Canis lupus familiaris: one gene and its partner. The protein of the gene in region 2 interacts with the protein of the main gene of each other region in a biochemical or structural test. Links are inferred from orthologs where the notes say so. Each region holds a gene or a part of one and is shown on either strand. Other genes may lie near its edges.

Evidence for each region. The genes of interacting proteins can lie anywhere in the genome.
Region 1: the proteins of MED1 (region 2) and THRA form a complex in vitro, tested with the Homo sapiens proteins (6 studies listed by BioGRID, with this or other methods). The link is inferred for Canis lupus familiaris from reciprocal best matches to the Homo sapiens genes MED1 and THRA.

What each region holds. Positions count from the first base shown.
Region 1 is NC_049230.1:22,422,747-22,426,377, forward strand, and holds part of THRA (thyroid hormone receptor alpha), read right to left. Parts: intron 3,336-3,631; coding exon 3,130-3,335; intron 2,113-3,129; coding exon 1,966-2,112; intron 1,367-1,965; coding exon 1,108-1,366; intron 482-1,107; coding exon 231-481; 3' UTR 1-230.
Region 2 is NC_049230.1:22,940,042-22,944,411, reverse strand, and holds the start of MED1 (mediator of RNA polymerase II transcription subunit 1), read right to left. Parts: upstream 2,943-4,370; 5' UTR 2,728-2,942; coding exon 2,703-2,727; intron 641-2,702; coding exon 534-640; intron 1-533. UniProt on the Homo sapiens protein: Component of the Mediator complex, a coactivator involved in the regulated transcription of nearly all RNA polymerase II-dependent genes.

The DNA of each region.
Region 1 (3,631 bases), about 520 kb from region 2:
GCAGGACACGGCCCCCCAACCTCCCACACTGTCCTTTTCATAGCAAGTTCATGTGTTTGCCCTGTCCCAGGGCTGGAGGTTCTGAGGAGGGATGGGCAGTGCGGGGAGGGGGGTGTGTGGGAGAGGAAGGAGAGAGGAGGGGTGGGGGGCCTCCCGCAGCCCCCCAGCTCTGCCCTTTCTCTCCACGCTCCTCCCCACCAGCTCCGCACACCCTCTGGCCGCCTGAGGCTTTAGACTTCCTGATCCTCAAAGACCTCGAGGAAGAGTGGGGGGAACAGTTCGGTGGGGCACTCGACTTTCATGTGGAGGAAGCGGCTGGCGTGGCAGGCCCCGATCATGCGGAGGTCAGTCACCTTCATCAGCAGCTTGGGCCAGAAGTGCGGAATGTTGTGTTTGCGGTGGTTGACGTAGTGCTCAAACGCCAGCAGGTATGCCTCCTGACTCTTCTCGATCTTGTCCACACACAGCAGGCCCGAGCGATCTGTGGGGAAGGAGGGACGTGCAGGGGGAGGGGGGGGTTGAGCCAGCGAAGGGAGACTGAGGCAGAGGAGCCAGGGTGGGGGAGGGGTGAGAAACCCGCTGTAGTACATGCACTGGAGCTGGAGCCAGAGGCCCAGCTGAGGAGGAGGCTGGGGTGCTGGGGGCTTGAAGAGGTAAGGAATAAAGACCACAGAGGGGCTGAGAGGTGGGAAGGGAGGGGAAACCTGGAGACAGGGCTGGTGGGAGGAAGTGCAGAGGGGAGGAGGCACAGGGAGAGGGGACTGGGCACTGAGGAGGGATGAGGGATAGAAGGTGGCTGGGGGTGGGGAACAAAGGCGAATCCAGGCAACAGAACGGATGGGGGGGGGGGCGGCAGAGAGAAAGAACGGGGTAAACATGGGACGAGGAGCAGAGGAGGCATGGGCAGGCAACAGATGGGCCTGGACATCAGAACCCAGGGGGTATTGGTGACAGAGCAGAGCACAGGGGACAGAGAATGGGCTCAGTGACAAAGGGAAGCAGAGAAAAACTATAGGGGTCAGGGAAGAAGAGTGTGATGTGCCCAGGGCCCACCCAACCTCTGGGCCCCTGGAAGCTTCTGAGCCCTCCCAGCTGGTAGGCAGGTACCTGTTGACATTAGCAGCACAGCCTGCAGCAGAGCCACTTCTGTATCATCCAGGTTAAAGGCAGAAAGTGACTTGCCCAGTTCAAAGATGGCGTCAGAGACCACGCCCAGGCCGCCATTCTTGAGCTGCTCCCGCTTGACGGCCATCTCCCCGCTCAGCGTCAGGGTGTCGCTCTCTGGGTCATAGCGGACAGCCGCCCGCAGGGACATGATCTCCATGCAGCACCCCTTCAGGAGGATGATCTGGTCTTCGCAAGGCAGCTGCAGAGTGGCAGGGCCACAGGAACACTCAGCATGCCCCTCCTGTCTCCTGTGGGTGCCCTTTGGGAGCCAGGAGGTCACCACTGGCCTCAGCCAGTAAGGTGTACTCCAAGCGGCTAACCTTGCTCTGGGGCCATGGGCATGGCCTAAGCCATTAAACCTCACAATTACGCCTATGTGAGTTACCTCCCATCATTAGCTCCATCCCACTGCCAAGGAGGAAAATGAGGTCCGTGGGTAGGTAACATGGCCAAGATCCCACAGCTAGGAGGGCAGTCTGTGCCCAGAGGTGGTGCTCACGCTGCTATAGCCAGGATGGCTATGTAGATGTGGGGGGAGAGGGGTAGGGAAGGGTTGGCGAGGCTGGGGACTTGGAGCCTTTGGTTCCTTAGGCATGGGCTGTGTGTGTGTGTGTGTGTGTGTGTGTGTGTGTGTTATAGGCACTGGGTATGTGTGTGTGTTAGCTGTGTGCTGACCTACAGGAATCGCTCCCTGTCCAGAGAACCTCAGATGAGCATGTGCTGACACCAAGTGACCTAGGGAGCAGCCCCAGGTTTTCTTCCAGTGTGGCACCATGCCTCTTCCCATCAGCTACTCACCTCGGAGAACATGGGCAGTTTTTTGGCAAAGTCCACCACACGGGTGATGGCCGGGGTGATGATCTTGGTAAACTCGCTGAAGGCCTCTAGGTCCACCTTGTCTCCATCCGGCATGGAGACGATGGGTGACTGGCCGATGTCATCCGGCTAAAGAAGAAGAAGGGGTCAGCTGGGGCTGCAGACCCCTTTCAACCTCTCACTGAGGCTGCCTGCCCACCAGGGGGAGCTCCAAGGCAGGTTGGGGAAGAGGGGCCACCAGTATGTGGGGAAGGCCCCATCCAGGACCTAAGGCTTCTCCTTCACCTTGGGGCAGGAAACAGAGCAGAGCCAGAGCTCCAAGTCGGCTAATAATAACAATGATCATAACAGTAGTAGAAATAATAACATAATAATAGAAGCTATGTTTACTGAATATTTAATACAGGAGACACTAGGCTATGTTTTATATATCTCATTTAACCTTATGAGGAGGATGTTCTACTTGCCACCATTTCACAGATGAGAAAACTGAGGCATAGTGTAGCTAAGTAATAAGCCCAAGTAATAAGCCAAGTAATAAGCACATGACTAGTAAGTGGCAGAACCAGGATTAAAACTCAGGCAGTCTGACTCCTGACCATTATACACACATATGCTTGGTCTTGCAGCCTGTGCTCTGAACAGTGTACTGTTCCACCCACTGGCACACTCCACCGGGAACCAGACACCAGTTTTCTGCCTTTACTCACCATATACAACCAACTGTCCATCTCTTCCCTAACTGACCATTCACTGAGCACTCTGTTTTGCCAGGGCCTAACGCAATGCCTGGCACCCATCAGGGGCCCCGAAATGCTGTTACATAACTGAGTCTTCACCCTCTCTTCTCAGTCACTGTGGGCAGGGAAAAGAGCAGCAGCTACCCATGCTCTCTGGAAATTCAAGGAGGAAGGCCAGGTCCTGTCCTCATGGAGCCCCCCAGTCTGATGAAATAGGCCATGCTCAGACAGCAGCAACATATACTCAGGTGTATGAGTCAGGATTGCCAAATTGTAGAGAGCATCAGCTTTGGGTCAGATTAAACTAAGAAGGCTTCCTGAAGGAGGCAAGACTCTGAACTCACTCTCCCTCCTGGTCACCTGGCTGCAGCTCTTGGGGGGGGGGCGGGGAGGCCTCTCTCCTTACCAGGAATTTCCGCCTCTGCTTCCAGTGGCTACCCTGGGCATTCGTGCTGCGATGGGCCTCTGTGGCAACATGGATCAGGTCCCACTCTTCGGGAGTGGGCTCTGGTCGCTGCTGCAGTGATCGGATCATTTCCTCCTTCCGTCGTCTCTCCCGGTTCTGCTCAATCAGCTTGCGCTTGGCCACCCGCTTTGAGTCATCTAGAACCACTATCAACAGCAGAGAGACACGATGCCCTTTGCATGGCACTCTCCACAACCTGTTCAGAAACTACTCCTCCCAATGTACAGGTTGGGAAACTGAGGGCCAGAAAGGTTAAGTGACTTCCCAAATCACCTAGCAGTTGGGTGGCGCAGTCTGGGATCATGAGAATCAGTGCGACCACATCAATGCTAATTTGAGCTGATCCAGGTGACTCGCATATCCTGGTCTAAAGGGTTCCAATAAGTGGTTACTAGAAGACCCTGCTATTTGATCTCTAGCCGATGCGATGCAAGATGCCCTC
Region 2 (4,370 bases):
TCTCTTGAGCTCTCTAAAATAAATAAATATTTTAAAAAATCAATTGTGGGATCCCAGGGTGGCTCAGCAGTTTGGCGCCTACCTTCGGCCCAGGGCGTGATCCTGGAGGCCCGGGCTCCCTGCATGGAGCCTGCTTCTCCTTCTGTCTATGTCTCTGCCTCTCTCTCTCTCTCTCTCTCTCATGAAAAATAAATAAAATCTTAAAAAAAAAAAATCAATTGCAAACTCTAGTAGAAGTATATATACAATGAAAATACTATTTCGTTAGAATCAAGTGGCTTGAGGTGCCTGGGTGGCTCAGTTGGTCTGACTCTTGATTTCGGCTCAGGTCATGATCTCAGGGTCCTTTAAGAGTCTCTCTTTCCTTCTCCCTCTGACCGACCCCCCAACCTACTCCCTGCCCACCTCTCTCTCTTTCAAAAAAGCTGAGGAGATACCCTATAATAACTAGTTTGAAAAAAATTTACAAAGGGAGCTTAGCTTATTAAATAATTATCTAAGCATAACACTTTATCCATTACATTAATCCTCACCATGACTTGACGCACAAGCTTAATGGTTTCACTCCAAGGTCTATTTTGGTTAAATTTTGCATGGAGCCGTTCCAAGAGAGAACTCATCTTACTCAGCTTCTCCGATTCTACGATATAAATCAGAAAACATTATTAGAAACTTTCCTTTCCAGACCTTCCACAATCTTTCTTGCAAAAAGAAACTCCCACACTTCAACCTGGTAAGAACTCAGTTGAAATATTTTTCAATACCATTTACTTCAAAACATACAAATTATTTACTTTTAATAACAAAATGACACAGAAATTGGGTTCTAAACTAATGAGCACCACAGAACATAACTGATTTCTATCCAGTCTTTTAATGAAAACCAAAAAAAGAACCACCTCTAACCATGTTTTGGGGTCAAGACTACAAGACTGTTTTGGGGTTAGTGACAAAATCATTTCATGATATGCATGAATCCCTTGCATGATATATGAAAAGCATACATTTGAACATGGCCTTACTTTGGTTAGTTGGTTTTCAATGTGAAATGCAGACTTTGATGTAATTCTAAGAGAACAATACAGAAGTATTATCAAGAAAATAGGCTGTATTTGCCATTTTCATTTTTCCTGTTTGAATTCAAACTAAAACTATATGGATAGGAAATATGTCAATGACTAAAGGATGAGCTTCTAGCAGAGCTAAGAGAAAGGTGGAAAAGTCCTCAGTTTCCTGGGCTATGAGTGAACAAAGATCTTATGCTCTCCAGCCTTCCTAATTTTTATTACTGAATTATAATTTTTATTTTTGAATTTTTGTTATTTTACTACTGAACTATAGCTTTATTTCTATTAAATTTTTTACTTTTGAAATATAGGTGATCCTTCCTCTAATTCTTACACTTCTTAGGACCTGTTCTAGAGACCACTGGCAATGCAAAAACTCAATACACCTGAGATGGTATCTGTGAAGGGGTGTGCGTAAGTTAACGTGGAAATAACCATCACAGAAAGCAAAATGAGATATGCTGTTAAAAACAGACACATTACAATTGAAACACAAAAAAGGAAAATCTCATTATTAGTTGTGGGGAGATTACAGAAAAGGTGACAGTTGATATTGGCATTGAAAGATAAATAATCTCAGCAATCAGAGTTAACGCAGTGACATTTTCTAAATCAAGATTCAAATTCCTTCCTCCAATGTCCTCATCTTCTGGAAAACCGGTTTGGGGACTGTTTCAGCCAGCTTACAGTTCTGGACACATTGTTGGCAATTCCCACTTTCAAGACTCATTCACACATGATTTTATGTGCTGGGGATATAGAAATGAGCAAACTAGACAAAATTCCTGCCTCATCAAGTTTCCATTTTACATTCACCAATCCTCTGCACCCAAGGAGTATACCTTTTTTCTTCCTCTCCTTTAAAATACTCCCCTCCCTTTTCCTTGAGAAGCCTGATGATAAATACTTTACACGAATGATCAAACACTTTTTGTGCCAGGTACTACACAACGATGCGTAAGACAAGGTGCTCAAAGTGGAGAAGATGGGTAAACATAATACAGTGATCCTTATTAACAAAACTATATCCAAAATGCTAAGGAAGCATTTAAGAGTGTAGGACTTTAGAGAATCTAAGTAAGGTTCCACAGAAAAGTTGTTTTTCAGCAGTTGTGAGTTAGTCCAGCCATTGAAAGGATGAAATTCAACGCATTTCATAAACATACAATAGTGTAAGTCTGGACATTGTAACGTTCCATGGAACTACTAGCTTTTAAAATCATAAGGTCCTAATCATTTCATTCACGCCAAAACATTCTCCGATATTTGACACACAGCTCTGTATTTTTTTAATGTCATTATTCAGATATCTCTTCTGAAACGAGGTGTAAGCAGGTTTTAGATTCACTCGCCTGGTCTTCCATCAACTTTAGGCTAAAAACGTTCCGAGGCCCAAGTGATTGTCCCTAGCTATGCAGGAAACCTTCATAGAAGTTGAGAGCCCCCATCACCCGAGACTCAGATCCTTGCATCACCAACGAAGGCACAGTCAGAAGCTATCCCGCCTCCTGGACTCCACGACCTCAGGAGCGTTGCCCCTGCAGAGGCATCGGGCCACCCCCACCCCAGCTCCTCTCACAGATTGGCTCCCCCAAGCTGCGTCCCGCCCCCTGCATTCCCCCTCAAGTCACTCACCCTCGGTTTCCCCCTGAGCCTTCATCCTGACGGTGGGGAGGTCCTGAGTCCTACACAAGAGGATAAACCCTTCCCCACCACTAACGAGGGAACCAAGTTGGTTCGGGCTCCCGGGAGGCAGGGGAACAACCGTCCCCACTCTTCCCGGGAAGGCTCAGTCTGAAGTCCCCGGCGGCAAGAAGAGAAGGGCGCTCCCGGCCGCCGCCATCTTCCCAACGGAACTTCCCAAATATCGCGAGATTAACCGTGATCCTGCGAGAGATAGGAAAAAGGCTGGGCACCAAAATATCGCGAAAAATAGTGAATGCAGTGCTTCTCGCGAGATTCTTCTAATCACGCCTTCCCTTAGCTTTCGGTCACCTGAAGGTTTACTTACTGCTCTCGAGTACCGTGTTTGCCGTCTGCTGGCGCTCAACCTCGCTTCCAAGTGGCAAAGGAGTTCGTAAATTAAAATCCTGGGATCTCTTTACTGACTAGCATTTCAAAGAATATAGGTACCAGAAATATTTTGTTGAAGATAATACGCTGGGCAGCCCGGGTGGCTCAGCGGTTTAGCGCCGTCTTCAGCCTGGGGCATGATCCTGGAGACCTGGGATCGAGTCCCATGTCGGGCTCCCTGCATGGAGCCGACTTCTCCCTCTGCCTGTGTCTCTGTCTCTGTCTCTCTCTCTCTCTCTCTCTGTCTCTCGTGAATAAATAAAATAATATAAAATAAAAGATAATACGCTTTATTGAGATACTAGGTGGAAACATGAAAATGGTATTGGGTCTTTGTAACACAGCGTTCCAAGCCAGCCCAATTCACTTAATTCCCATTTCCCAATTTTTTCCTCAAATTTCAGAAATATTTCTCACGCAATAACGGTTTTTTGGTTTTGGGGTTTTTTGTTTTTTGTTTTTTAAGATCTGGGAGGTTTTAAATTAAGGTAAACTTGTAGCAGTCAGAGCATCGGATGCTTTTAATTATATACTAAGGTGTATGACTACTAGTGTTCCTATCTGGTAATCATAGTAAAACAAGCAGTTTAGCTTGTACTCCACAATACAAAGAATGCGCAGTCCTGTCTCCTCACGTGGAGAAATTTGGAGTAATGATGAGAAGTTTATGGCCACCGGAACTGAAGGACCAGGCTAAAATACAAAACTAGCATTTGGTGGAAGTTCTCGACGTAGTTAAGGCTTGGTTTTGTTTTGTTTTGTTTTTAATGTTCTTTTTCCAAACAAATCTTTGAAAATAGCCGCTGTAAAGTTGGATTTTACCTAGTTCACTGTAAGGATACTAAGTAGTGGATTTCTACTGGCTTTTCAGTCTCAGAATTTCTCCATATTTCAAAAATGCTATTCAAACATCCTCCAAAGCCATTCCAGCAGACAACTGCAGTTCAGGTGAGCAGGCACAGCAGTGTAAATTTAATAAGAACAAATCTTTGTGTTTTTTTTTGTTTGTTTGTTTGTTTTTATGATAGTCACACAGAGAGAGAGAGGCAGAGACACAGGCAGAGGGAGAAGCAGGCTCCATCCAGCGGGAGCCCGACGTGGGATTCGATCCTGGGTCTCCAGGGTCGTGCCCTGGGCCAAAGGCAGGCGCCAAACCGCTGCGCCACCCAGGGATCCCAAGAACAAATCTTTGGAAGCGTCTGGGAACACATTTACTACCACAAAGATATC